Linked DNA regions of Cricetulus griseus. The protein of the gene in region 1 purifies or fractionates together with the protein of each later gene. This does not show direct contact. Links are inferred from orthologs where the notes say so. Each region holds a gene or a part of one and is shown in the gene's direction. Other genes may lie near its edges.

Region 1 (5,681 bases):
GGAGACTTGAGATGGAAAAATGTCAGGCATTAAAAAAAAAAAAGTTCTTGGGGCTGGAGAGATGCCTTAGCACTTGTTCTTACAGAAGACATGGGTTCAGTTCCAGCACTCACAATTATCCATAACTCCAGTTCCAGGGAATCCAGTGCCCTCTTCTGACCTCTTTGGACACCAAGCACTCTTGTGATATACATACGTGTAGGCAAAACAGTCATACACATAAAGTAAATCTAAACAAATTTTAGTTTTTATCCTGTAAAACTGAAAAAATCTTTAAAAATTAATATGTTTGTGAGTGCCAATTCGTTCACTCACTATGTGGGTTTATAACATGTTGAATATTTCTATTTTGTTACTGTGTGTTTTTGAGGTTAATTTTTATTATATTTTTAGGAGTTATGGAACAGCGCCAGTAAATCTTAATATCAAGACAGGGGGAAGAGTGTATGGAAATACAGGTAAAACTTGTATTTGCATCTGTATAAGTATGAAAAAATGGCATGATATCTCAGGTCCCGAGTAGATTGTATCAGCTCTTTTCATGAGTAATGTTTGACTGACACATATGCAGACTCCTTCTGTGAAAAACATCTCAGACAGCAGACATTCCGCCTGTTCTGCTTGTGCTGCTTTGCTTGTTTTAGAACCCTTTAAGAGAAACTTCTTTGCCCACAAATTATATAAAACAGCAATTTAACAGATGGCATTAGCAATTCCATTGATGTAGTAATCTTTTGTTTTTGTTTCCTGAGATAGTATCTCAGGACCTATCCTTGACCTAGCTGTGTACCCAAAACTTGCCTTTAGTTCCTGGTCCTCCTGTCTCCATTTCTCAAGTGCATAGATGTTAGGCATGTGCTGCCATGCTAGGCCATAATATCTAAATGCATAACTTTTCCATTTTGTTCGTCTTAAAAGTTTCATCACAAAGTCTGACTTTATCTAGTTTTATTAATGGTCAGGATGGATGGTAAAGGGACATTTGTTTCCTCTTTTTGTCTTCTCCTTCTTGCTAAGGTAGCTTCTTTGCCATTTTGCATTTCTTTAAATTAGGAACCAAAGTCAAAGGGGTAGACCTTGATGCACCTGGCAGCATTAATGGAGTGCCACTGTTGGAAGTAGATTTGGATTCTTTTGAAGATAAACCATGGCGGAAACCTGGTAAGATTATTTGGGAGTACAGTTATCTCAAAAACAGATTTTTAGTGTAAAATGATCAGAAAAGTATTTTTGAGTGGCAGTATAAAATGCTGCCTTTCATGATGTCTTTTTTTATTGTTCTAAGCAAACAATGAATACTGAGTACTGGCATTATTAAAACCTCATTAAGTCACTGGAATTAACATAAATGTGGACTCACATTATTTAGTATAATGTCATTTCTAAAGGAAATCATTTTGATCAAAATGTTTTTCAGTCTGCTTCATTGTGGTAACCTTTTCTCATATGTATACAGTCTTTTGAACATGTTCACTGCTTTGTCCTCTTTGACCCCCTCCAACCCCCACCAATACCCTAATAACCTTCCTCTTCAGAGTTTGTTCCCCTTCTATTTTCATACCTTCTCTAAATCTACATTTTTATACTGAACTATATTTTGATGCTGCCATAGAGTTAAAATATTTGTATTCTAAAAGTTTATTTTATCTTTAGGTGCTGATCTTTCTGATTATTTCAATTATGGCTTTAATGAAGATACTTGGAAAGCTTACTGTGAAAAACAAAAGAGGATACGAATGGGACTTGAAGTTATACCAGTTACTTCAACAACAAATAAAATTACGGTAATTAGTAAATCTTCCAGAGTAACCCTGCCTCTTCTACTATTGCACTTTGACTCCCCAAATAAGTCACTTTTCCCCTACAAAGGTGATTAAATGCTGTATGACAGTTTAATTTTTTTGTTGTCTTGACCATGTTTGTTTATTTCCCCTTCCCCTTCAGTTCCATGTTAATGATTATCGTGTGTTCTTAGTTCAAATCACAGACTAGCCACAGCTAGTTTGTCTTTATGTGGCCTATCAATTAAAAATTGTGTGGTATCTTAATGGGGAATATGTTATTTAACTTAGGCCGAAGACTGTACTATGGAAGTTACACCAGGTGCAGAGATCCAAGATGGCAGATTCAATCTTTTTAAGGTGAATTTTAGTAAATTATCCTTGGTTGCTCTCATTTTGTTCTTGAGTCTGCTCTGTTCAGGGGAGAAAATTAAAGTGGAAATAGGTACCTTTTTTCCCCCCAAACCTTCAGCTTCCTGGTGACTTACATCTTTGTTGATTGTTGTTAACTTTTGTAAGCATGTGAATTTATAGCCTATCATACTAACAAACACCAAATAAAATTTCTTTGCCGTATGTTGTGACCTAAGGATAGTACATATTTGTGGGATATGAAGGTCATGGCTGCAGGCTCAGCACTCATTGTACATTTTACTCTTATTCTTAGTAAAATTGGGAAAACCTTTTGTTTCCCCAGTTCTTAAAAAAGCAGGAGGGATGGTAACAATGTTTATTCTCTGACAATGAAGTCTCATTGGTGCAATAGCTTATAGTTAAGGTGTTTTCAAGAATTTTAGATGTTCTCTGACAACCTCTTAAAATTGAGCAGAGCCTCCGAGGTTTAAAAGGAGTAGGTCCATGTAAGTGACATGAAGGTTGACAGGATCATGTGACATCAGGTCTGACCTCTGGTTTCTCCATGTGGGTCCAAAGAATACTACATTTCATTGCTGCTTTTCCTGAGGTTTGGTTGGGTAGCCTTTCCTTTCCTTAGCTTTAGGTTATATACCTCAGGGACTTTGTGGCCTAGATATAGAACTCTGTGCCCTTTTGAGGACACCAAAATGCTGGCTTATGTGCTGTATCCGCAGATGTAGCTGCTGTCTGTACAATTCTGTATAGAGACTTTAATTTTAATTTATATCCTATTATAGGTAAGTATTTGGTTCTTGTTCTGTTATTAATATTTTGAAAGTACTTGGTAATATTTACTCTTTTAAATGGTCATCTTAGATTTGTAAACAGTGAAATAAGAAACTACTAGGGTTAGCTTCTCTTGAAAGCTATAGGTATCTATTTTACATATAGGCTATCTGTTGAATATTTTTTGAGTTCTTTTTGATTGTTTTCGAGGAAGTCATTAATTTTTCTCCATTTCTGATTGATTCATTCTGAATGAATTTTATGGTTGTTGTTCAGTGGTTTTCTTGCCTTGATCAGATGCTTAAATACTAGTAAATCTATTGGAAATAGTGATTTAGGGATGATTAATTTCAGTGATTTAGTTAGGCCCCCCCCAGTCATATTGTGGTCTGTAGGAAATGATGGAAATAATGCCACGGAAAAAGACCTTCATCTTAAACACTGTGCACATTCATGTGAACAGTGGGCATCCATAAGAAGGTTCTTGAGCAGTAGATTACTGTGCAGATCTGGTTTTTAGAAAAGAAGTGGCAGTTGAGTGGACTGTAAGAAAGGCAAAAGGTCAGATGGGGTTGATGTGATCAGTAGTACAGGAGTGAACCAAAAAACACCTGGGCTTCATGACTTGAGAGCCTTTTTTTTTTTTTTTTTTTTTTTCATTTTATTTTTTCTGCTTCTCTTTTTATCTCTTATTGATGTATTGTACTAGTCCTGTAAAATCTGGATTTACCCTAATTTTTCCATCTCTTCTTTCTGGGAGGTCGTCCCCCCCCCCCCCCCGTCCCCCATTGAATTCTACTTAGATTTTTGTTTCTGCTGTTAAGTTTTTAATTTCCAAGAAAGTTTTCACTGCAAGATCAGATGTTAACTTGGTTTCAATAAATCAATCATATATTATATAGTTATTTCTTAAGATGCTAGGTTATGTGAACTAATCTCATGTTCTGGTTGGACAGATTTTGATTTTGTCATCCTGAATGTAGCATATGAAAACACAAGTGGGTAGTTAGAATTCAAGATAAAGAGGAAAGCTGCTATGATAGTGAAGGTTTTCAGGATTGTGTAATAAGTGTGTTTTAGAGGAATTAAGTATAAAAGTTAGGAAAAATGAGCAGTTTTTACTCATTTTACTACCTCTTGTCTTCACTGTTGTAGAGATACACACGTACATGCATATAGTTTAAATACTCCCTTCAGTTTTAAGATCTTTTATTCTCTCTCCCACTTTCTTCTTCAACCTTCTCCCATTTTTCTTTCCAGCTTTTAGAAGACAATCCCAAACAATGTGTTAGGCTGGTTGGGGAAAGAAAGTGAACATAATAGACATAGACTCTAATCTTCTGTCATGGAAAAGCTAGGTATTCAATAAATAATGATGCCAACAATTACATATTTAATGTTATTTGAAAGACTGAAGAAGCGACATTAAAGTAGAGGCTCAAAACCAATCAAATAAATTTAAAAAAAAGTTTATTGGCTTCTCCACATCCTTTTCCAGACACTTAGCACTTAGGATACAGAGTTTATACATGGTTTCTTCAAAGGTCTTGGCATAGTGACAGTAGGCAGGTAGTATCATACAGCAAAATATTCAGATGATGCTAACAAGAAATTTTAAGAAGACAATAGAAAATCACAGGAAAGAGACTGGCAGTGGTGAAGGAAAGCTACTCTGTTACAAGGGATAATTTGACACAGTAGTCCTCTTTCGACCACTGGAATACACTAAGATCCCTTGTAGATGCCTGAAACTGGGTAGTACTAAACCCTATATACTCTGTTTGCTTCTCCACATGTATATGCACAATAAAGTTAACTTCCAAGTTAGTCATAGTAAGTGAGTAACAATAACAGTGCAGAGCAGTACACTAAAAAAATTATTCCAGTATGCTCAAAATAATTATTGTGCTGTAAGTCATATCAACCTTAGCATATGGTGACTCTTCTGAAAGGAACTAGGTGATGGCTTCTTTGTGCTGGCTCTGAATCGTCAGCATCATGACCTTTGTGCTTTAAGGGCATTTTTAAGTTAAGTAAGGCTTAGTCAGACCTCAATACTCCTCTACCCTAACAGTTTTAGTATCCCAGGCAGCTGAATGAGTGATTAACAGGATGCTGAAGTGAGCATGTGGATGCATAGACAAAAGGATGGTTCATGTCCCAGGTGAGGTGGAATTGGAAAGGTGCAGACTCTGTGTGGTTTAACGTGTCAGTTGTCACTGTTTGGAATTTTCCACTTGAGTTATTTTAGCCTGTTTTTGACCCATAATTGAAAGTACAGAGAGCAATAGCATGGGTGGAGGTTGGGAAGATTGCTCTACTTGAATTAGAGGATTCCATGAGAGAATCCAGAGAAAGACTATTCCAAACAGAAAGAATAGTTAATTCAGAAACCCTGATGAGAAGAGGAGCCTACGTGTCCAACAAGACAAGAAAAAAGCTATCATGACTAGGAGTGGTAAAAGTAAGTGGAGGAAGAATGGAAAGAAACAAGTTTAGAGGGATACAAGGCTCATAACCATATAGGCCATGTTAAGATGTTTGTTTTGGTCTGGGTTGCATTGGGAACAATTGGAGAATCTTGAGCAGAGGAGAGACACGAGTTGGCATGCAAAATGTGGTATGATTGCTTTGCCTTTGTACAGAGTTAAGAGCAAATGTGGAGAGTGTGTTTATCACAGTAGTTGATGCACACAGATGGATTTGACTGGAGAGGTGTCTGTCAGCTGATGAGTTTTGGTAATATTATAAAGGAAA
Region 2 (5,105 bases), on another chromosome or scaffold:
GTGGGGAGTTGGCCCATGAGGCTTGCACTAAAGCTGAGGTGCTATGGAGATGGATCTCTCTTGCTGGTGGCCCGAGTGTTGGTGCCTGAGGCGCGTGTGTAGGAATTGTGTACTGTGTGGTCTTCAGTTGCTATGAGCAGTAGGAATAAAACATAGCTGTTAAATGTTAATAATCTTCCCACTTACAGCAGCTCTGTTTTAACTATCTCTACAAAGACTAACGCCTCTTAAAGTCTGTAAGAAAATCATATGAGTCTTACAATTTTCTTCAGGTGATGTAGAAGAATTAGAAATTCAAGAAAAACCTGCTCTGAAGGTGTTCAAGAATATCACTGTCATACAGGAGCCAGGCATGGTGGTTCTGGAGGTGAGGCCCAGTCATCACCTCAAGGGGAGGAAGGAGGGAAGTTTCCTATAACCGTATGTGTAATCGCAGAGAAGTGTGGTTATTGATAATCTGGGGTACCATCAGTTTTGAAGAGGGGAGCTCACAGGCTCAGCCTTAGACAAAACTACAAGCAACTAAGGCATTCTGAGAGCTTGAGAAATAGTCTTGCCAAGGGAAAAGTCCCCTGATAGGTCTTCCAAGACCAAGTGGTCAGGCCTGAAATCAAATATATGAAAATAACACTATACATGCTGAGCAGGCTGTATTTATAAGTCTAGGGAAAGAAATACAGCAACAATTAAAGTAAAAGAGGCCGTGAGTTTGAGAAAGAGTAGGTGGTGGTGGGGCTAACAGGGGAGAGGCTGGCAGGAATTTGATGTACTTATAGTTTAATTAAAAAAAGGGGGGGTCTTAAAAGTCTCAAGATAGTGCACACTTTTAATGCTAGTACTTGGAAGGTAGAGGCTCCTGGATCTCTGAGTTCAAGGACAGCCAGGGAGGGCTACACAGAGGACCTCTGACTCGAAATACAAAAAAAAAAAAAAAAGGCCACAAACTAGTCATGCCACCTTCCTTTAAAAAAAAAAAAAAAGATATTTTCATGTCTTGAATAAACTGTAAAGTAACTCAAAGCATAAATGGGTTAGAGATGGCTCAGCAGTTAAGAGTACTGGTTACTCTTCCAGAGTTCCTGAATTCAATTCCCAGCAACCACATGGTGGCTCACAGCCATTTGTTATGAGATCTGGTGCCCTCTTCTGACCTTTGGGCATACACTGTATACATAATAAATACATAAATAAATTTAAAAGACAAACATCATCTGGGCTGGAATGTCCTCTTCCAGAGGACCTGGGTTCAATCCCCACACCCACATGGCCAATGTGGCATAACTGACTAATTTCAGTTTCAGGACATCCGGCACCCTCTTCTGACAGACATACAGGCTGGCAAAATATTCAGATCCATTTAGGGGGTGGGGTGGGGTGAGGTGGGGTGGGGTGGAGATACACTGGTGAGACCCAATACAAACAAAAAGTTCAATAGGCATCTACATTACACACCTTGTGTTTCACCCTCTTGTCCTGCTGCCTGAGCCAGTAGCATAAAGAAATTTGGAATCTGAGTTTGACCCAGCACCAGCAGTTATATTGCATGTGTTACTTTGGGGTCAGTTTTCTCTTCTAATAAAATAATTAGGGAAATTAAATGGCAATGCATGGAAAACTTCTTGCCACAAAGTGGGGAGGGGGGCGCGTTTAAAGGACTCAGGTGACTAGGAGTCTCATGTGACTAGGAGCCAATTGATTCCCCAAAAAGCTAGAGCAGCAGCTCCCCTGCGGCCTGCTGGCCTGACAGGCAGAGCTCGCAGCAGTATGGCTGTGGTTCTACCTTCCTGACTCCATCTTTGCTTTATAGTGGCTGGCAAACCCCTCTAACGACATGTATGCGGACACAGTGACCACCGTGATACTGGAAGTTCAGTCGAATCCAAAAATAAGGAAAGGTAGGGCTTGCCCCATGCTTAACCATTCCATCTCTCTCAGATTCTTAGAACAAAAAAAATCAGTAGAGCCCTGAGTAGAACTTAAGTTTTCCTAGATTTTAGTGTGTGATTTTGAGGTATGAACACATGATGTCTTACTTTTCATTCTGGCTCATCATTCACAAAGGTAGAATCCTGTTTAGTTACAGTTCTCCTAAAACATTGTGAACAGAGATGCTAAGATACTGCTCCGCTGAGCCAGCATGTCCCTCAGGGAGAGAGCTGGCTTCATGTTCAAGGGAAGGTGCTGAATAGAATGGCAGCTCTAACTAGTGAGAGCATGTGCTGAAGCTGGCTGGCGGCTTGGCCCTGTGGCTGCACAGTGGACTCCAGATGTGCCATCAGACAAGGAGGCACCCTGAGGTATTCTGGGAGATTCCCCCCACTCTAGACCCACACAGGATACCAGAGCCTGTTCAGGATAGAATGTCCCCCTAGAGACAGAATGGGCACAGGGGAGGGAAGTGGAACTGGTCACTCCCTAAGTTTTCTGTGTTGGCCACTCTGTCACATGAGTGACATGAGTAAGCCGGCCATGTCCATATCCTCCCTTGAGCTGCTGGGGAGCATTTGGTTGTGGGTCATGGCAGTGTGAGAGTCTCTGCTCAGTCTTCATCCTCGCCTTTAGCTCTGTGAACAGTGCTGCTGTTTGCTCTGTGGGGCTGGTGTGGTTCAGTGCTGAGAGCACCCATTTAGTGGGCATCTGGTCCTGGAACCTTCTTCAGCACTGAGAATGGTTCTGGTCAGGCACGGTGGTGCACGCATGTCGCCCCAGCATTTGACCAGTGGGGCAGGAGGGTGAGATCAAGGCCAGGTTTAGTGCCAGCCTGGACTCTACAAGAGAAAAGAGACCCTGTCTAGTAGAATCAAAAAAAGCAAAACGTTGAAAATGGGGTGGTTCACATTGCTGTAATCTTGACACTTGGGCGTCAGAGGAAAGAGGGTCACTGCAAGTCTGAGGCCAGCCTGAGTGATGCAGTGAGCACTGGGCCATGTGGTAATAAGATGATGGCTCAGGGAAAGAGAATTTGTGTGTGCGCACTTCACATGTCAAGTCTGCCTACCCTTTGGGGAAACAGAGACCATGAATGGGCACTGTTGTATAGCTGGTGCAGGCCAGGGAGGCGTAGGAATGGATAGGCCAGGGTGACCTTAACTCCAGATTAAAGATGACTTATCATGACCATCAAGTTGTGTGTTTGTTGGGGTTAAAAAAAAAGAAGAGGATGCCGAGCCATCTCTCCAGCCCTTAAGTATTGATTTTATTAAAATATTCGTATCAGATGCTATAGCTGATACATAACGTTTAGATACAGATTAATGGTCCAGAAGTCTGTGGACCTATAATTTAGTCACCTCTCCTCAGAATGTAAGTTTGAGAAAATTGGGAAATAAAAGTGAACTGGGTGTTGTTGTGGTTCCTTTATAAAAACACGAACTGACATTCACATGAATTTGCCTTATGTGAGCAGATGGCACAGCACATGCTTTGACTTTGAGGTCTCCATGGTTACTTCATGCTCTGGTGACCTGTTTGGTGACTGAGCTGCTTGTCCTTCAGGTGCGGTGCAGAAGGTCTCTAAGAAGTTAGAGATGCACGTTTATAGCAAGAGGCTGGAGGTCATGCTGCAGTAAGTCTCAGCTGGGTGTGCGGGTGCATGGGTGTGTGTGTATGCGGGTGGGAATGCTGAACTCATGGTGTGTCCCTGTCCTGCTAATGTACTAAGTAAGTTATGTCCAAGTTCACACTGTGGTTGTTGCCACATGCCAGTGCTCCAGCCTTATGAAGCCTGCACATCTGTCAACTAGTGTGATGTCAGCTGAATGTCACTGTGCCTTTAAGAGTTATTTTAAGTATTGGCTTGGACGTGAATTGTTTGGTAAAGTGGGTGTTTAGCCTCTTTCCAGTAAGTCTATCTGTAACTGTGAATGTCTCCAGTCTGGTGTGTTTCTACCACAGTGCCTTCCTGTGGGTGCTCTTTCAGCTGACTTTGGGATGTTTTCTAAGCGATCTTAGGAAACCTCTTACCAGTGGATAGTTAATTCATAGTTTCAGCACCCAATATCGTATCATTTGCTTGGTGAATGAATAACTTAGTTTTCTTTAGAGAAAATGTCTGCAAGACAAAGGGAAGAAAGATACATTTTGGCTCCTGGTTCAGAGGGCTCTGCCATGGCCAGGTGGCCTTGGCTTTGTCCTGATGTGGAGTAGAGCATTGTGGTGATGGGATTGTGCAGGAGAGGAGGAAGCTCACTATATTCCATTCTTCAGAGTCACCGGCTGTCCCCTTCCTTCACAGTCACACACAGGCTGTCCCCTTCCTTCACAGTCACACACAGGCTGTCCCCTTCACAGTCATGCTCCCGGTGTCTTTCTTCCTCACCCAGGCCTCATGTCTGTTACCATTGCAGCTGTGCCAATGCCAGCCTGATGTGAGTCTGTAAGGGAAGGAATCGCTTGGTGAATTAGGTCAGAACCCATCACCTGGCAGCCAATTTTGATGTCCTCTGAGGACATTGCAGGTTCCAATCATGACAATGGCTGCTTCTGCATCTAAGTTGAGAGTGACAAGGATAGAAATCTTAGTATTTGGGAAGATTTTGTGTCCTTTATGTTTTTCTAAAATTTCATACTGATAACAGTGGCTTTTTAATAATAGCTTTCATTGGCTTTTTGATTTGTTTTGTGTTTTAAGAGACATAGCTTCACTGTATTGCCCAAGTTGACCCCAAACTGGAGGGTCATAAGATCTATGCTACATAGAAGCTGGAGGCCATTCTAGGCAACTTTGTGAGACCCTGTTTTAAAGAGCTGGTGTGGCATGTCTGCCTAGAATGCAAGGCCCCAAGCTTAATCCTGGTATTAAATTAAAAACAACCAAAGCTCATGCTTGCTAAATGGAACAGTGGAGCATTCCCATGACTAGAGCTGTGTTTCAGCTGTTGTAGAACAGATAATCAACAGCAACAGCATGTCTCCAGAGTAGCTAAATAAAAGCATTCTACTTCTGGGACTTGGGCCTCTCTTCAGTGTAATTCCTCCCACACCGGTAAAGTTGGATTTTTCTCAGTAATATCAATTTTTGTTCACTTAAAGGGACATATTTGGAGAAGACTGTGTCAGTGTGAAAGATGACTCTGTCCTCAGTGTCACAGTGGACGGGAAAACAG
Region 3 (6,258 bases), on another chromosome or scaffold:
AGGCAGATGGCCAATGGATAAAAAGACCTACATATTTCGTTGAGTTATTTTATAGATGCAAATCATAATTCTACTAAAAGGTAAAACGAATTACTACCAGCAGGAAGGTCCAGATTAAAAAATTGGTTGTATCTAAGGGAAAATGAATTATTTTTAGCCTACAGGATGAGGGAGAGACTAGAGAAATTTTTGTGGACTGTTTGGCTATTCTTTGAGAGACCAAGACAAATAAAAAGGTGACTCTGGGCCTAGAGCTGGGATTATAATTTAGTGTTAGGTTTCAGGTCCTCAAGTCAATTCTCAGAATGAAGGGTAAAAAGTGCCTGAAACTATTCATAGTATTTTAAAACTATATCTAGTATTTATCTACTTAATCTATAGTGAATCCTTTTTAAAATTATTTTTTTAAGGGTCTCACTGTGTAGTCATGACTAGCCTGGAGCTAGTTACACCAGGCTGTCCTGGAAGTATCTCAAATGCAGGGATTAAAGGTGTGAGCCAGCATGCCCAGTTTATTGTGAATCTTTCATTTAATATTTTAATACCATTTATAGACCCACAGAGAATATAGTTTCTACAGTTTTGTGTAAATTTTAATTTCTAGAAATAACTAAAAACCATTTGGGGAGGGAGGGCTTACATGTATCACAGATTGGCCTACAACTCAGTATGTAACCCTTGCTATCCTTGAAATCACAATGAGGATCATCCTGTCTTAGGCCCCCAAGTGCTGGTAATTCCAGACCTGTGTGACCACCCTGCTGTAAATACCATATTTTCCCCTCAAATCTGTCAGAGATTTGGGTGATTTTGTTGGTCAATCCTGTTTGTTGAAAATGCCTATGTTTTTAGCTAAGGCACTTATTTCCTAGTATGATTGATACATGGATGCTCAGAACAATTTCAGAGTTAGCATAAAAACCATTACTACAATGGACCAAACTTTAACAGTGATAAGTGTGAAGGATAATCCCATAGGCCTTAGATGTTTTGCTTGATTCATGTCTTTTTCTTTGAAAATCAGTCAGGTAAGAACAAGGTTTGTGGTGCTTGCCTCTAATCCCAGCATCTGGGGCATACAGGAGGACTGCAAATTGGAGGACCATTTGAACTACATACATAGTGAATTCCTAGCCAACCTGGTCTGAAGAGGAGCCCTGTGTTAAGACAGCAAAACTAATTTTAGTAACCTGATATCTTGATTTGTTGAATAAATTCACAACCAAATATAAAACATATGCTGCTGGGCAAGTGGTGGTGCACGCCTTTAATCCCAGCACTCGGGAGGCAGAGGCAGGCGGATCTCTGTGAGTGGAGGCCAGGCTGGTCTATGGAGAGTGTTCCAGGACAGCCAAGGCTACACAGAGAAACCTTGTCTAAAAACCCCCCAAAACAACAACAAGGACAACAAAACCAGTGGTGGAGCATGCCTTTAATCTCAGCACTCTCCAGAGGCAGAAGCAGGCAGCAGGTGGATCTCTGTGAGTTTACGGCCAGCCTGATCATGAACTTCAGGAGAGCACAGGACTATACAGACTCCACGTCATAGAGACCGTAACTCAAAATAAAATACAAAGAGAACAACTTAAAAATCAAAACTACCTAAATGTCCACAATAAAAGTTAAATTAATTCGATTAAATCTATACTCTCGGCCATACTTTTCAATTAATTCCAATTTAGCATAATATTAGTAAGTAGAGGAATGAGCACTTTGCCTGAGCACACAGAGAAAAACCTGAAAGGATCCTGCATCTTATAACAGTTTCAACAAGCCATAGCGTGGGGGCGGGGCTGAAGCTGACAGACGCTTTAGTTTGTCTCCCTGGGCATTAATTTTCTTTTATTGATATTTAAGGAGGTGTTTTAATATTAAGGTACAGGTATCAACATTTTACCTCATAATCTGGAACAAAATTTTAAATCTTTCAAACATTCTACACTAAACGGAAGCATCTGTGAAAACACATGGATCAGAAATTTAAACATTAAGCCTTAAATCAGCTTTCGTTTGGCGGTTTCCCGCTCGTGGAACGCAAAGAAAAACCGCCCCATCCCTCTGGGAAGGCCGACGCTACGGTTACCACAGTGAAGCCCGGTCGGCCATCTTTAATGTGGTCAGTTCTAATGCATCCGGTGACGGCAGGAAGAGGGGGCGGGACGCCGGAGAAATTTGACCAATAAGATCATGGAGAGGAAACACGCTGTCAGTAACCAGGCGCGGACAGAAGAGCGCGCGACCGGAGGCGGAAGGCGTTAGATAAATTAGTCCGGTCTTAGGAAGCGGTTTCTGCGGCCTAGCGGAACTATGGACTTATAGCGGAAAGGTTTCTCCCCGGAGTTTGACACCTGCTTCCGTTACACAGGGGAAGTGTGGTTGGCTCGCCAGAGGACGGCTCTTGGACGGATTTGCTCTCCGCTGTGTGCTCGACCGGAATCATGTCGAGTTTGGCGGTGAGAGACCCAGCCATGGATCGTTCACTGCGCTCAGTGTTCGTGGGGAACATCCCGTATGAGGCGACGGAGGAGCAGTTAAAGGACATTTTCTCGGAGGTTGGTTCGGTTGTCAGTTTCCGTCTCGTATACGATAGAGAGACAGGAAAGCCCAAGGGTTATGGCTTCTGCGAGTACCAAGACCAGGAGACGGCGCTTAGTGCCATGCGGAACCTCAATGGGCGCGAATTTAGTGGGAGAGCGCTTCGGGTGGACAATGCTGCCAGTGAAAAGAACAAGGAGGAGTTAAAGAGCTTGGGCCCGGCAGCGCCCATCATCGACTCCCCCTATGGGGACCCGATTGATCCAGAAGATGCTCCAGAGTCGATTACGAGAGCAGTCGCCAGCCTGCCCCCGGAGCAGATGTTTGAGCTGATGAAGCAAATGAAGTTGTGTGTCCAAAACAGCCACCAGGAAGCGCGGAACATGCTGCTTCAGAACCCACAACTGGCGTATGCCCTGCTGCAGGCCCAGGTGGTGATGAGGATCATGGATCCAGAGATTGCACTGAAAATTTTGCATCGCAAGATACATGTCACACCACTGATCCCAGGCAAATCTCAGCCTGGCCCTGGCCCTGGCCCAGGTGGTCCTGGCCCTGGCCCCGGCTCTGGCCCTGGCCCTGCCACTGCCCCTGGGCTCTGCCCGGGACCCAATGTTATGCTGAACCAACAGAATCCTCCAGCCCCACAGCCTCAACATCTGCCAAGAAGACCTGTGAAGGACATTCCTCCTCTGATGCAGACTTCTATACAAGGAGGAATTCCAGCTCCGGGACCAATACCAGCCGCAGTTCCCGGACCTGGACCTGGTTCCTTAACTCCAGCAGGAGCAATGCAGCCACAGGTTGGCATGCCAGTGCCCTTAGAGCGAGGACAAATGCAGATGTCAGATCCTAGACCTCCAATGCCTCGTGGACCCATGCCTTCTGGTGGCATTCCTCCTCGAGGACTACTGGGAGATGCTCCAAATGACCCACGCGGAGGGACTTTGCTCTCAGTTACCGGAGAAGTAGAACCCAGAGGTTATATGGGCCCACCCCACCAAGGTCCCCCTATGCACCATGGTCATGACAGCCGTGGCCCTTCCTCGCATGACATGAGAGGAGGACCATTAGCAGCAGATCCCAGAATGCTAATTGGAGAGCCCAGAGGTCCCATGATAGATCAAAGAGGTCTACCTATGGATGGTAGAGGAGGTAGAGAGTCTCGAGGAATGGAGACTCGACCCATGGAAACCGAGGTCTTGGAGCCACGAGGAATGGAGAGAAGAATGGAGACCTGCGCAATGGAGACCAGAGGGATGGAAGCAAGAGGACTAGAGATGAGGGGCCCTGGCCCTAGTTCCAGAGGCCCGATGACTGGTGGAATCCAGGGTCCTGGCCCCATTAATATGGGGGCAGGTGGCCCTCAGGGACCTAGACAGGTTCCAAACATTGCAGGAGTGGGAAATCCTGGAGGTGGTATGCAGGGGGCAGGCATACAAGGAGCAGGGATGCAGGGAGCAGGTATACAAGGAGGAGGAATGCAAGGAGCAAGCATGCAAGGGGCAGGCATGCAAGCAGGGATGCAGGGAGCAGGCATGCAAGCAGGGATGCAGGGAGCTGGCATGCAAGCAGGGATGCAGGGAGCTGGCATGCAAGCAGGGATGCAGGGAGCTGGCATGCAAGCGGGGATGCAGGGAGCAGGCATGCAAGCAGGGATACAAGGATCGAGTAAGCAAGGTGGAGGCCAGCCTAGCAGTTTTAGCCCTGGGCAAAGTCAGGTAACTCCACAAGATCAGGAAAAAGCAGCTTTGATCATGCAGGTTCTTCAGCTGACTGCAGATCAGATTGCCATGCTGCCTCCCGAGCAAAGGCAGAGTATCTTGATTTTAAAGGAACAGATCCAGAAATCCACTGGTGCTTCTTGAAAGGCTTTTGGTTAGGAAGTACTTAGTTATCCCTTCAGTGTTTATTGTGTGGCATGAAAAGTGGTGCAAAAAGCTGTCTTCTGTGTTCCCATACTTTAATGATTGAAGGTTGCCCTCTCCCTGGACCTTAGTCCTATTTCTAGTCTTTTTACTTTCTGTTTTCCTTTTTCTTTTTGATTGAGGATAGGGAGTGGAGGGAGTGGGCCTATTCACTTTGTCACTTAACTCCACTAGAAACCCTGGAAATGAGGACAGCATACCAAATAAGGTGGTATAGGAAGATACAGCAATAATAACATGTCTGCACTCTGTTAGCTGTATTTTATAAATATTGAGTAAACTGGGAACTACATTAAAATTGAAAGTGGCCTGTTACAATATTGATAGTTTAAAGATTTTTGGCTGTATATTGAACTGAATGTCAAACTGTGAAGATACACTTTTTTTGGAAAACCGAAACACTTAATTCTATTTTAAAGGCAATAGAGTACCGTATTAAGGTTAATATTTTAGTTATTTTTTGAAACATTAGAGCTAATAGTCTGTGGTAAAATTTGTAGCAATAGAGTTTTTTTTTTTTTTTTTTTTTTTTTTTTCCTTAGAGCTCTTATGGGAAAACTCAAGATGATGCCTCATTGATCTATCTGACCCTTCTGAAACTATTAGTATCCTTGCCTGGTCCCAACTGTGGTGGTTTTGCAGGACAGTTGTAGTGTGAACTGAGTTACATATAAGTCTCCTGATGAGACTCAAGTTATTGCTTAATGCATAGCTCAAAAAGAAAAACAGAAAAATCTTAAGCCCCAAGTCTGGTTGTGAGTAATTTTCTGACATCATCTAAAAGAATCAGTCAGAAAAGGAGTCAGGCTTTCTTGAGTAGTGGGGGTTTCATTCAGTAACTCTCCCAGGTTCTCAATAAACCGCTCACCATATGGATGCAATCCATTTGGTTGACAGGAAGTTAGAAATCTTAGTCTTGACATTTTGACATGTCTTACAGTTTGATTACTTTCAATAACTACTTTCCTACATCTTACTAGAACTGGGGCCCATGTAGACCGACAGCTATGCTCAGTTAACTTAATATTTTATATCTTACATAAAAGCCATTTGGTCATAATACACATTCCTATAAGATATATTTTAAAATAAGGAATGTGGAGTTTATTATGTGTCCTTTAGAGCTATTATCTTGTTTTAGCTTTGAGTGTGTGGCACCTAGACATTGTGTTATATTCAGTTAACAAAAGAAGCACAAGCTCCCATATGGCCAAGTGACCTTCCTCTGTAGGTTAATAAACACCCAGCTGCTGAGCAAAGAGTAACCCTTAGGGAGAGCTGACACAAAGGGTTGTCCCCTTGCAGAGTTCTTGAATTTTAAGTGTACAAAGTTTTCATCCCTAGGCTATTTTCCTACGATTTAGTTGTTCTGTGCTAGTGTTAAGCTTCCTGTGTTTCCTCTGCCTCCTCTCTGCTGGAGTGGATTAGTGTTCGTACTTTTGTGCTAGTTCTGGCTAATTCCAATTGCTTGTTTCTTTTAAAATTGTAGTTGCTAACCCCAAACTTCTCACTGACTAATCAAAACAGTGTTTGTTATAAGAAAGTCTCTGTACTGTTTAATAAAGCTTAAATAAAAAAGTTGTATGATTAAGGTATTTTGTATGTTTAATTTCACTTAATACATTGGGAAATGCCTGTTTTTTAAGAGATACATACATGTAGTGAAAAAAGTAAAATAAGGAAATTGGTGGAAATCTCTTTATTGTATATGTGGTTCAACAGCTGGAATCCTGTGAGGACTATGCCACTCCAGTGTCATCAGCAGCAGTGGCATGTGGGTGATACCTTCCACATT
Region 4 (6,224 bases), on another chromosome or scaffold:
GTGTGTAGGCAGACATGGTGCTGGAGGAGTAGCTGAGTGCCCTACATTTTGCAAGCAACAGGAAGTCGATTGTGACACTGAATGAAGTTTAAGCGAAAGAGACCTCAAAACCTGCCTCCACAGTGACACACTTCCTCCAACCAACAAGGCCAGGCCTACTCCAACAAAGCCACACCTTCCAATAGGGCCACTTTTTTGGAGGCCATTTTTTTTTCAAACTACCACAGTTGGGCTCAGTCAGAAGTGACAGCAGCAGGAGACTGTTGATGTTGTCTACATAGATCAGTAGCCGGTACACACAAAGGAGGAATAGTGAGAGGAGATCTGGAGGAACAAGCAGAAACTGTCAAAGCAATTGTGTACCTACTTTTCAATTGCGCTGAAAAGGCACCATGACTGAGGTAACCTATCAGAGAAAAAGTTTATTGGGGCTTACCATTTCAGAGGGTGAGTCCGTGACCATCATGGTAAGGAGCATAGCAGGCGTGGCACTGAAACAGTAACTGAGACCTTTCTTATCTTCAAATAGGAGGCAGAGAGGGAGGGAGATGAAAGCCCACATCCTGTGACCACACCTCTTCCAACAAAGCCACAGTTGTTGTTTTCTCCTAAGTTGCTCTATTTACAATAAAGACTTGGGAGTCAGATGTTGGGGGGGAACCTGCTAGATCGGAGAAGCCAAGATGTAACCAGCTGACCTTCCTTTTCTGCTGGAGACCCAGCAAGAGATTGTCTCTCCACATCGTCCAAAACCAAAACAAGACCACAAATCTCTAAGTCCTTCCCTACTCCTTCCTGTTGGTCTTTCTATTAGTCTTACCAGGTCTTTTGTCCTCTCTATGGCTAATTCTTGTCAGCTAGTCCACTGGCTGAACTCCCTGGTCCAAGGCTAATTTTATTAACATGGTCTCAGAGTTCCAGAGTGTGATCAAATATCCTGAAACACCACATCTCCTAATCCTTCCCAAATGGTTTCATCAATTGAGGACCAAACATTCAAATACATGAGCCTATGAGTACCATTGTCATTCAAATCACCATACTGTCCAGCATAGATGACAACTCTGAATATTATTTACACTTAGCACAATGGAATGTTCCATTAATTCATAGCTCAATCCCACAAGCAGCCCAGAGCCTCATGGGAGCCCAGATAAGGAAAGGGATCCAGTTCTGTGTCTCCTGAGTCACCTACCTCAGCAGGGGCCAGGGTATTCTGGGTTGTCCAGTGGTCTGCCAGTGGCCTTCCCATATCCTTTTCTGGCTTTTCTGCATGACCAGTTCTTGATTTTGGTCACAGGCTCTATCATCCCTGGATGCCTCCAAGGCTCAAGAAAACTTAGTTGGTCCTAGTTTTCAAGGGCTCAGCAAAGGTTTGGGGATTTTCCCAACATCCTCTGTATCTTCAGTACTGGAAGTCCCAGGCTGGAGTTACTCTCCGAGGTCTGGAAAACATCTCTATACACCCATTTGTTCCTACTGATGTGGTAAGCAAGGGTCCTAGCTGAATCTTGTCAGATTGGTGACCTGGGCACTCAATCAGTCCCAGGAAGGCTTTAAAAATGAGTTATTTGAGAAAAATAGACATCAAAATAGCCAAACAACCCAATTAAAAAAGAAATGGGGCATGGAATTAAACAGAGTGCTGTCAAAAGATAAAATTTAAATGGCCTTGAAACATTTAAAAACCTCTTTAGTATCCTTAGCCGTTAGGGAAGTGCAAATTAAAACTACTTTGAGATTTCATTTTACCCAGTCAGAATGACGAAAACAAAACAAATGACAATAAATGCTGGTGTGGATGAGGGAAAAGGGGAACACTTACTTCACTGTTGGTGGGATTAAAAACTGGTATAGCCACCATGGACACCCAAGTGGCACTTCCTCAAAAAGCTAGAAATAGATTAATACATGACACAGTCACACACACCAAGGGGTTCTGCATTTTACTGCAGGGAACCACATCCATGCTCATTACTGTTCTATTTATGATAGCTAGGAATTGGAAACAACCATCAGCAGACAATGAAAATGTGTTACATTTGCACAATGGAATATCATTCGACTGTTAAAAGAAATGAAATTACAAAATTCACGTGTAAATGGAAACAATGTTACACTTGTTTTATATATGTAATACATGTGTAGGTTGTATAAACGATCATTCTGAGTGAGATAGCCTAGACTCAGAAAGACAAGCCTCACATATTTTTACTCATATGTGCATGTTAGCGATGAATCTTCAGATATGTGTGTTCCATTTGAAATACCCATAAAGGTCAGGAAATTTGTAAGGAGCCATGGCAGGGGCTTTCAAGAGAGATAGAATACAGTGATATGGGGTTAATAAAATAGGAAGGGTTAAATTAAGGATGGGGAGGACAGGGTAGAGGGTTGAATACCAGGAGGGTTCTTTGGGCAAGGCCAGTGATGACACACCAAGGTTCCCATGGTGGATTTCATGCACCCTCTGGTGGCCATTATTAGTTTTGCAAATTCTGAGCTGGGATGACATTCCAGGGGCGGACCCAAGGCCCCGCCTTCCCTAGGTTCTACAGGCCTTGTGCACAAATAGCTGCTTGCACTTTGAGATGGAGCATGAGGAAATGCTGTCTGGATGAAGAAAGGGGATGAGCCTGGCCTGCGGCTGTTGGTGACTGTGGAGTGAGAGTGCCGGCTGTCCCAGACAGCTGTCATCAATCACAGTGTCCTGTGGTGTAGCCACTTTGAGAAAGCTGCCCTTCTGCTCTCACTACTTGCATCATGCACTTTTCAGCCAGGAAGGCACACTGTTCCAGCTGTCCCTACTCAACCAGGATCCTGCAGATGAGGAGGAATGCAATTTGCTGGGCCCAGGCCCTCAGGTTACTGGTTCAGGGTAAGGATCAAGTCAGATTCTGGCATAATTTGGTTTTTGTTGTTTTTTTTAAGATTTGTTTTTATTTTATGTGTATGCTTGTTTTGCCTGCATGTATATATGTGCATCATGTGTGTGCCTGGTGCCCACAGAGTTCAGAAGAGGTATCATTAGATACCCTGGAATATGAATTAGGGATGGTAGTGGGCTGTCATGTGGGTACTGGGAACTGAACTGGGTCCTCTGCAATTGCGAGTGCTCTTAGCTGCTGAGCCATCTCTGATCTCTGTGCATGAACAATAAAAACCCAGAGACAGATATTGGGGTTCAAGCTGAAGATCAGAAAAGCAAAGCAGCCAACCAGTAGAGAGTTCTCACCTCTACCAAGGTTCAAACTAAAGCAGCAGTGGTGGTGGGGGGAGGGGGGAAATCGTGTCTTCAGCATGACTGCAGACTGCAATGGTCTCCCACAAATCTCAGACTGCCAGAGACCACACTGAACTCCTGACTTATATTCCTCTCTAGTGCTGGGATTAAAGGCATGCCATCCCAAGTGCTGGGGTCAAAGGTGTGAGCTCTGTTTCTGTTTTAGATTGATTCACTCTCATGTAGTCCAGGGTGGCCTTGAACTCACAGAGATCCATCTGCCTCTGTCTCCTGAGTGCTGGGATTAAAGGCATGGCCACCATGGCCTGACCTCTATGGCTAACTAGTGGCTTAGGTGTGTGGCTAACTAGTGGCTTAGCTCTGCACTCTTCAGGAAAGCTTTATTTGTTAGATTACAAACAAAATATCACTGCATTTCCCCTTTTTGTCTAAAATAAAAAAGAAGCCTTATATAATATAAGAAAAACTATGTACAATAAGTACAATAACTTAAAGATTCAATTTCTAGGTCAGAGTTAAGGGAAGGGATACCTCTATGGAGCTTCTCAGAGTTTTATGCAAGTATCTGAGTTGTGAAAAATACAGAAAGTTACAAAAACAGAAAATACCATATTTTCTATATAAATGTATATAGAAAATACATATACTATATGAGAGTAAATATAATATCTTGACATGGAAATGAGTCCACTGGATCTCATCCATGTTTTTACACAGTTAAATACAAAATGTGCTTTTATGGGATCTGAGTGTTCTGGAATGTGTCTGATATGATATGAAGTGACCATATCAGACTCCAGAGGAATGAACGCCTTGGCCTCCTTGAAGTGAGTCAAGGACTTAGGCCAGGGTTCTTAGTAACTAGTAAGTTCAGATGTGGGTGTCTACTCAAGGTGCCCCATGTTCCTCTTATTGGGATTGTGTGTGGTAGCTTAGGGTTAGGGTTAGCAACTGCTATCCCACGTGGTGATTTTATACCAATTATCCAGATACCCATTTCCCAATTCCATTTATTTCCATATTTACTGGTGGTTAGAGTTTGGGCTAGGTTTTTCCAGGTTCTTGGTTACTTATTCAGAGAATTAAAAATGAGGGCTCACACAGATTTGCAAAAGAAGCAAAATAAGTTTGCTGGAGCAAAGAAAGCATTAACACATGTCAGCAGGCCACATGAGTGAGATAACTCAGTTTTCTCGTACGAGGTTCAAATGGAGAACAGGCTGTATTAAGGGGTATAGTTTGAGTGGTTTTCTATTTTTTTTTATCATTGTGCAGGCAAATCTATGAGTCTGTGGAACTTGGGTCCTTGCCAATGGTCACATAGCAAGTGCATCAAGGTATTTTTTTTTCCATTTTCCCCTCCTTCCCTGCTCCCTACCAACTCCCTATCCCTTTCTGCTCCCCAGGGAGGGTGAGGCCTTCCATGGAGGATCTTCAGAGTCTGTCATATCCTTTGGAGCAGAGCCTAGGCCCTCCCCCGTGTGTCTAGGCTGAGAGAGTATCCCTGTATGTGAAATGGGCTCCCAAAGTCCATTCTTATGCTAGGGGTAAATACTGATCCACGACCAGAGGCCCCATAGATTTCCAAGGCCTCCCCACTGATACCCAGGTTCAGGGGGTTTGGATCAGGCCTATGCTGGTTTCCCAGCTATCAGTCTGGGGCCCATGAGCCCCCCTTGTTCAGGCCAGCTGTTCCTGTGGGTTTCACCAGCCTGGTCTTGATCCCTTTGCTCATCACTCTCCCCTCTCTGCAACTGATTCAAGTTCAGTTTGAAGGGACCAGCTCCCAATTTTGGCAGCCATAACAGCCAAACACATACTTGTCTGACCTTGTATTGGTTGCTAGGAGGTCAGATGCCTGTCTTGTGGCAAGGAACCAATCAGAAGTTAGCTAGTGGTGCTATGCTTTACGGCTCTGGGTGTGCTTTATGGACAAGTGCACAGCAATGACGCACAGAGCATAGCAACCACCCTGGGAGGGCCTATGGGCCATAACAACCAGTTGACCAATCAACACAGGGCAAACCCTCCAAACCAATCCTGAGCCTGTGTGTACCCCTAGACACTCCCCTTATGCTGCCTTATAAGATCTCTATGCAGCCGCTTTGCAGGGTCTTTTTTTTAGCCATCCGCCATGGTGGGTGGATGAAAGACCCGAGCTAACATGGGGTTAGCTCGTTAAACAACTACAATAAAGCCTCGTGCAGTTTGCATCAAGCTTTTGACTCTGCCTGGTGATTGGGGTGACTGAGGTCCTGGGCTGAGATCTTGGGGGCCTGAGTCTCTGGGGGTCTTTCAAGTTCAGTGTTTAGCTGTGGGTAACTGCTTCTACTTCCATTAGCTGCTAGATGAAGGCTATAGGATGGCATATAAGGTAGTCATCAATCTCATTATCAGAAGAGGGCATTTAAGGTAGCCTCTCCACTATTGCCTAGATTGTTAGTTGGTGTCATCCTTGTAGATCTCTGGACATTTCAATAGTGCCAGTTTCTCTTTAAACCTAAAATGTCTCCCTCTATTATGGTATCTCTTATCTTGCTCTCCTCTGTTCTTCCGCCAACTCAACCTTCCTGCTCCCTCACGTTCTCCTCTCCCCTCCTCTTCTCCCCTTCTCATTCTCTTAGCTCCCTCTCCCTTCCCCCCATGCTCCCAATTTGCTCAGGAGATCTTGTCCCTATCCCCTTCTTCGGGGGACCATACTCCTTGTTTCCCAGCTTCTCTGGCGGTATGGATTGTAGGATGGTAATCCTTTGCTCTGTGTCTAAAATCTATATATGAATGAGTACATACCATGTTTGTCTTTTTGTGACTGGGTTACCTCGCTCAGAATGGTTTCTTCTAGTTCCATCTATTTGCCCGCAAATTTCAAGATTCCATTTTTTTTTTCCTGCTGAGTAGTACTCCATTGTGTAAATGTACCACATTTTCTATATCCATTCTTCAGTTGAGGGGCATCTAGGTTGCTTCCAGTTTCTGGCTA
Region 5 (5,681 bases), on another chromosome or scaffold:
GGTGGATCTCTGTGAGTTCGAGACCAGCCTGGTCTACAAGAGCTAGTTCCAGGACAGCCTCCAAAGCCACAGAAAAAACCAAAAAAAGAAAAAAAAATTGTTTTTTCTCTGCACATTTTGTCCTTTTTGATGTGTTCGTTCTGTCTTGATTTTGGGAGTTCTTAGGAAAACATAAGTTCTGACAGTCATAGTACAGTCAGTATTTTCATCTTTTCTTTTAGTTCTGTGAGATTTAAAATGTGAAAGATGTTTTATTTTCCCCTTATGACTTACGGCTTTGGTTCTTACTGTGGCTTTTCTACTTTAAATTATAACAGTATTTAGCTCTGCTTCCTTTCCGAGGTTGACTGGTGTATTTTAGCCAGTTTGACTGAAATCCATCCTCTAACAGTTCAGTGTTAGTGCTACTCTAAAGAAGATGTATGAGTCTGTGTCATCGAAACTTGATTGATTTAGATGGGAATTTAAAGGTTATGGGTCACTTCAGAGAAGCGATGTGTCTCATACCCAGCTCTTCTGATGCTGACTTTCTCTTGTCTTTTTCATTAGCTGAGGAAACGCGTGAAGCTTGAAGGGAAAGAACTCGAAGAATATGTGGAAAAAGAGAAACTAAAGAAAGAAGCTGCTAAGAAACTTGAGCAGTCGAAAGAGTGAGTCACTCACATAAGAGTAACTCGTAAGGTTAAGTCAGCATATAATGTAAAAAGAACACATTTGTAGGATTCAAACACTCAGTGGCCTTCAGTGAAGATAGCTTAAATTGTCTTAAGGCTTTATGACTTATTAACATTTTCAAATGGCAAAAATAAAACCTTTTGAGTGCTAATAATGCCAATGTATTAAGGATGGTAATGTCACATTTTTACAAAACCCTGATCTACTTATACCAACTACTATGACTTGGGGTAACAGTGGATAGTCATTCATTCATTCATGGTTTTATAAATACTAAGCCAAACTGACTTAGTAACATTGTGACCCTGCTGTGTTCCCAAACCCTCCCAGGGCGGATATCGACTCCAGTGATGAGAGTGATGTGGAGGAAGATATCGACCAGCCTTCAGCTCATAAGACAAAGCATGACCTGATGATGAAAGGCGAAGGCAGTCGCAAAGGCAGCTTCTTCAAACAGGCCAAAAAATCCTACCCTATGTTTCCTGCCCCAGAAGAAAGAATTAAATGGGATGAATATGGCGAGATCATCAAGTATGTGAGCAAAACAAACTCTTTGGGCTCGGTGAATTGGATCTCTCTGGTCGCCATGTGCTTTGCTCTTGAATGCCTTGGCTTGAGAGATAGAGGAGGCTTGGAATTGGAAGCATAAAACAGAAACGTTGAGGGGCATCTTGAGGATTAGTAGGAAAGGGAGTGTGTAGTTTAATTACTTGGTTTCATGAAAGGTTTGAAGCTAAGGGACATGCTGTGGAGTTTTTGCTGGTAGTTGTATTTATAATACTTTTGGCTACAAGGGGAATATGAAATAAAGGGTGGAACCATGAAAAACAACTAAAATCACATACTCAGACTGCAGTTTTGGAAACATTGCTAACCTGAGTAAAAGTCTGCCAGGGTTCCCTCTGCTTCCCCAGAAACAGTTAGGTGCCTTGGCCTAGTACACAGTGTCTGACATTCTTGCTCTCATGTTTTCCTCTTCCCTTCCCTGTCTGGCTATATATAGATATATTTAAGTGTCTCTCTCTCTCTGCATTGATACGCACTTGTTTACCACTTGTATAGCCAGGATTATAAGCATGTATTTTATACTTGCCTAGTACTTCCATAATGTTGTTGAGCAAGTGGTAGTCTTAGATCATTCTTGTGCTTACTTAGGAAAGTCCCATTGTCTACATAGCCCTCTAAAACAACCAAGAGAAAACATGGCAATGTAAACAATGCTGGTGTTTTTTTAGGTTCATTTGATAAGTGACCAGTCTGCTGCTTACTCTCTGTGTGTGTGTGTGTGTGTGTGTGTACACAAATGTGCCTTGTATACATATGTGTATGTGGAAACCAGAAGACAACTTGCAAGAGTCAGTTCTTTCATTCCATTGTAGGTTCTGGAGATCAAACTCAGGTTGTCAATTTGGGCAGCAAATTCCTTAACCCACTGAGCCATCCATCTCATGGCCCTGGACACTACTCTTTAACTTGACTTTCCTAAGAAACATGGGGATACAAATTAAATGAAGTTGTAGGAAGTTTTTGTTTTTGCTTTGGGTTTGGGGGGAGGGGAGGGGCTTTAGAGATCAAACCCAGGGTCTTGTAAATGCTAGGCAGTTATTCTATCACTGAATTACACTCTAGCCTGTGAGATTTTGTTTTTAAGGAAGGTCTCTAGCCTGGAATCACACTAAATGTGCTTTAAGTGGTTGTTACTGCTATGGTTATTCTGTGGTTTAGAGTTGGGGATGTTAACTGTGGGGAGTAAGAAACTGTAGCAACCTGGCTGTTAGAGAATAGAGCCTGGGTTCTCAGAGAGGAGTGAGAATGGACTAGAACGTTAGAAGGATGGTCACAGGGTGGTAGAGGATTGTAAAAACAGGTATCTCACTCTTTTCAGCAGTGCTCACAGGGAGAGTTGTTGTGGGGCACACATACACATACACTCACACAAACAAGTAAATTATAAAGAGTGCAGGGCCGTCCAGTGGTGGTGGTGGTGGTGTTGCACGCCTTTAGTTCCAGCACTGGGGTGGAAGAGGCAGGTGGATCTCTGTGAATTTGAGACCAGCCTGGTCTACAAAGCTAATTCCAGGGTAGCCAGGGCTATAAAGAGAAACCCTGTCTCAAAAAAACAAAACAAAACAAAAAACAAATAAGCAACAACAACCAAAAATGCAGGGCCAGATTTCAAGAGTGCTTGTTGCTTGTTCCAGCCATTCAGTTCTTTTTTTGATGTGTTCAGGGTTTCTCAGCAGTCTACATCATCCTTAAAGAGCGTTCTCCGGCTGGAGAATGTAGCTCAGGAATAGCATGCTTGTCTAGCTTGTGTAAGGTCATGGGTTTGGTCCTTAGTGCTGCTAGCTAAATAAATAAATAGCACTCTTCAGTAGTTATAAAAAACATAGCACATATAATCATCTGATTGGTAGTGTGCATTAATTAGCTTTGAGTTGAATTAAGTCTTAAGATATTCGAGGAGTCTTTAAATTATGCCATCTATTAGTCTGTTACATATGTTACATAATGTTAGCATACCTTCCATGTGTGTAATTAGAGAATCACTGTTTAGACCAGAAGATTTCTTAGTGCCAGAACTTCAGGCCACTGAAGAAGAAAAAAACAAATTAGAATCGGGTTTGACAAATGGAGATGAGCCCATGGATCAGGACCTGTCTGATGTTCCCACCAAGTGTGTTTCTGCAACAGAGTCTATTGAGATAAAGTAAGTGCCTTTGTGGGGTTTGGAGATCAGGGTAAACTATATCAGGTAAGATATAGTTTCAAGCCCTTGAATTATATAACTTACATTGTTTCAAAAGTGAGATTTCAGCAGAGCCACTATGAGTTCATGCTTTTAAAACTCCCTTTTCTGTGAAGTATGTTGGTATTTTCATTGAGGATCCTTGAATACCAAAGTAATTGTTGGGAAGGGAGCTGAAGATTAAATTGTACATTTATATGAAGAGACATTATTTCCTGCCTTTTTAATAAATCTAGTAGCAGGTGGGAGAATGGTGCAGCTGAGAAGCTAATTCTTCTGCATATTACTTGCTTCATGAAATGTCCTCCTTGACTTAGACATTCTAATGTTTGGGGGTAGAAAATTTTCAGGACCAGAAGTAGTCAAGAAATTCTTTCCTTTCCTGCATAGTCCAGTTAATACTGCCAAGAAGTGATTATTTTGGAATTTGAATCATCAGAGAACAAATGGTTTTTTGTTCAGTGATATCTTTTGTGTATATTCTTAATTGGGAGTCATACTGTAACATGCATTTTACAATTTCTCCTTATATGCATTTCTTTCCTGATGGTAAAAGCCTACTTTTAGAGTTAAGAAAGTGAGCTTGAATAATGATATTTAATTACAGAGCCAGGGTTACTTACATAGACTATGAAGGACGTTCGGACGGAGACTCCATTAAAAAGATCATCAATCAGATGAAACCACGGCAGTTGATCATTGTCCATGGCCCACCAGAGGCCAGTCAGGACCTGGCCGAGTGTTGCCGTGCATTTGGTGGGAAAGATATTAAAGTGTACATGCCAAAGCTACACGAAACAGTTGATGCCACAAGCGAAACGCATATCTACCAGGTAAATATGTTGTCAGTGGAGCCATGGGGAAGTAGACATTGCTGTTGGCACACTAGCTCATGTACATTAGGAATATGGTGAGTGAGATGGGTACAGCTCCCTACCCTAACAATCCCTAAATTCGAGATGTTTAAACCAAATAAATCAAATGCCCCTAACACTTACTCATTTGGCAGTGTGTAAGGTGCTGGGAGATAAAGAAGAGGGCTCCTACTCAAGTTTGGAGGTTTGGAAAAGGTTTCCTGGAAAAAAAAAATGACAACTAAACAGGCTTTTTAAAAAAAATAATTATTTTTATTTTATGAGCATTGATTGGTGTTTTCCCTGCATGTATGTCTGTATGAGTGTGTGAGATCCTTTGGAATTGGAGTTACAGACAGTTGTGAGCTGCCATGTGGGTCCTAGGAATTGAACCCTGGTCCTCTGGAAGAGCAGCCTGTGTTCCTAACCACCAAGCCATCTCTGCAGCACCCTAAACAGGCTCTTATTGGATGTTTAGCTACTTTGTCAGGACAGACAGCAGCAAAGAGTGGGGAAAGAGTGTTCTAGTCAGATAGACAACTTTGGCCAAAGTACCAATGTGAGGGAATGATAAGCATTCTCAAAATCAAAAACATACGTCCATTTCTTCATTATGAATGGCAGGGTCTGGCTGTGTAGCCCAGGCTAGTCTCAAACTTGATTCTGCTGCCTCAGCCTCCAAAGTGCGAAAATTATAGGCATATTCTACCATGCCCAGCCTCAAAAAAAAAAAAAAAAAAAAAAAAGTTTTTTTAAAAAAACTCAGCAGATGTCGTAGTTCTCCTAATTGAAAGAAACAGTGTGGCTAAATGAAGGAGAAATAGTCTTATCTGGAGATAGTGACAGTGAAGGTAGGCGTGACATCTATATCTGGAAGAGGTTAGAACTTGCCCGGCAGAAAATCATATCGGGTATGTAAGAGAAAGAGACATGGAGGTGTGAAATTAATGGCACATTCCAGAAAGCACAGCAGCCATAGCTGCACAGATGGTCATCTGAGCACTAGTCTTCATTTCAATGATCACACTAGAAATACTAGAGGTGGCACCCCAGTGTTAGTATCCAGGTGGGTGTGGGACGCCGTGACTCTGTTGTACAGTCAGATTGACAGTCTTATTTTGGAAAATGGCCAGGGATTCTCAAGCCCTTACAGATAATTGGGTCACTGTGAAGAATGACAGCCTGAGGAGAGAGATTTTCAGATGTTGATCATATTGCCAGAGTTAGAAAATGGCAGAAGACTATGTTTGATTTGTTAACCTACACCCTCCCTTTGTTAACCTCCCCTCCCTTTGCATATCCAGGTACGATTAAAGGACTCGCTTGTCAGCTCCCTTCAGTTTTGTAAAGCTAAAGATGCCGAGCTGGCTTGGATAGATGGTGTCCTAGACATGAGAGTTTCC

The links.
Region 2: the proteins of Fip1l1 (region 1) and Cpsf3 purify together in Homo sapiens (affinity purification with mass spectrometry; 5 studies listed by BioGRID and IntAct, with this or other methods). This does not show direct contact. The link is inferred for Cricetulus griseus from reciprocal best matches to the Homo sapiens genes FIP1L1 and CPSF3.
Region 3: the proteins of Fip1l1 (region 1) and Cstf2t purify together in Homo sapiens (co-immunoprecipitation; 3 studies listed by BioGRID and IntAct, with this or other methods). This does not show direct contact. The link is inferred for Cricetulus griseus from reciprocal best matches to the Homo sapiens genes FIP1L1 and CSTF2T.
Region 4: the proteins of Fip1l1 (region 1) and P4ha2 purify together in Homo sapiens (co-immunoprecipitation; 3 studies listed by BioGRID and IntAct, with this or other methods). This does not show direct contact. The link is inferred for Cricetulus griseus from reciprocal best matches to the Homo sapiens genes FIP1L1 and P4HA2.
Region 5: the proteins of Fip1l1 (region 1) and Cpsf2 purify together in Homo sapiens (affinity purification with mass spectrometry; 7 studies listed by BioGRID and IntAct, with this or other methods). This does not show direct contact. The link is inferred for Cricetulus griseus from reciprocal best matches to the Homo sapiens genes FIP1L1 and CPSF2.

Annotation. Positions count from the first base shown.
Region 1 is NW_023276807.1:141,061,150-141,066,830, forward strand, and holds part of Fip1l1 (pre-mRNA 3'-end-processing factor FIP1), read left to right. Parts: intron 1-393; coding exon 394-458; intron 459-1,053; coding exon 1,054-1,161; intron 1,162-1,653; coding exon 1,654-1,784; intron 1,785-2,072; coding exon 2,073-2,141; intron 2,142-5,681.
Region 2 is NC_048600.1:27,390,144-27,395,248, reverse strand, and holds part of Cpsf3 (cleavage and polyadenylation specificity factor subunit 3), read left to right. Parts: intron 1-272; coding exon 273-367; intron 368-1,807; coding exon 1,808-1,895; intron 1,896-3,495; coding exon 3,496-3,565; intron 3,566-5,031; coding exon 5,032-5,105. UniProt on the Homo sapiens protein: Component of the cleavage and polyadenylation specificity factor (CPSF) complex that plays a key role in pre-mRNA 3'-end formation, recognizing the AAUAAA signal sequence and interacting with poly(A) polymerase and other factors to bring about cleavage and poly(A) addition.
Region 3 is NC_048596.1:30,363,105-30,369,362, reverse strand, and holds Cstf2t (cleavage stimulation factor subunit 2 tau variant), read left to right. Parts: upstream 1-2,334; 5' UTR 2,335-2,438; coding exon 2,439-4,403; 3' UTR 4,404-6,058; downstream 6,059-6,258. UniProt on the Homo sapiens protein: May play a significant role in AAUAAA-independent mRNA polyadenylation in germ cells. Directly involved in the binding to pre-mRNAs.
Region 4 is NC_048600.1:68,253,118-68,259,341, forward strand, and holds the start of P4ha2 (prolyl 4-hydroxylase subunit alpha-2), read left to right. Parts: upstream 1-2,562; 5' UTR 2,563-2,763; coding exon 2,764-2,878; intron 2,879-4,519; coding exon 4,520-4,581; intron 4,582-6,224. UniProt on the Homo sapiens protein: Catalyzes the post-translational formation of 4-hydroxyproline in -Xaa-Pro-Gly- sequences in collagens and other proteins.
Region 5 is NC_048598.1:104,034,030-104,039,710, reverse strand, and holds part of Cpsf2 (cleavage and polyadenylation specificity factor subunit 2), read left to right. Parts: intron 1-549; coding exon 550-650; intron 651-1,005; coding exon 1,006-1,206; intron 1,207-3,232; coding exon 3,233-3,385; intron 3,386-4,031; coding exon 4,032-4,257; intron 4,258-5,582; coding exon 5,583-5,681. UniProt on the Homo sapiens protein: Component of the cleavage and polyadenylation specificity factor (CPSF) complex that play a key role in pre-mRNA 3'-end formation, recognizing the AAUAAA signal sequence and interacting with poly(A) polymerase and other factors to bring about cleavage and poly(A) addition.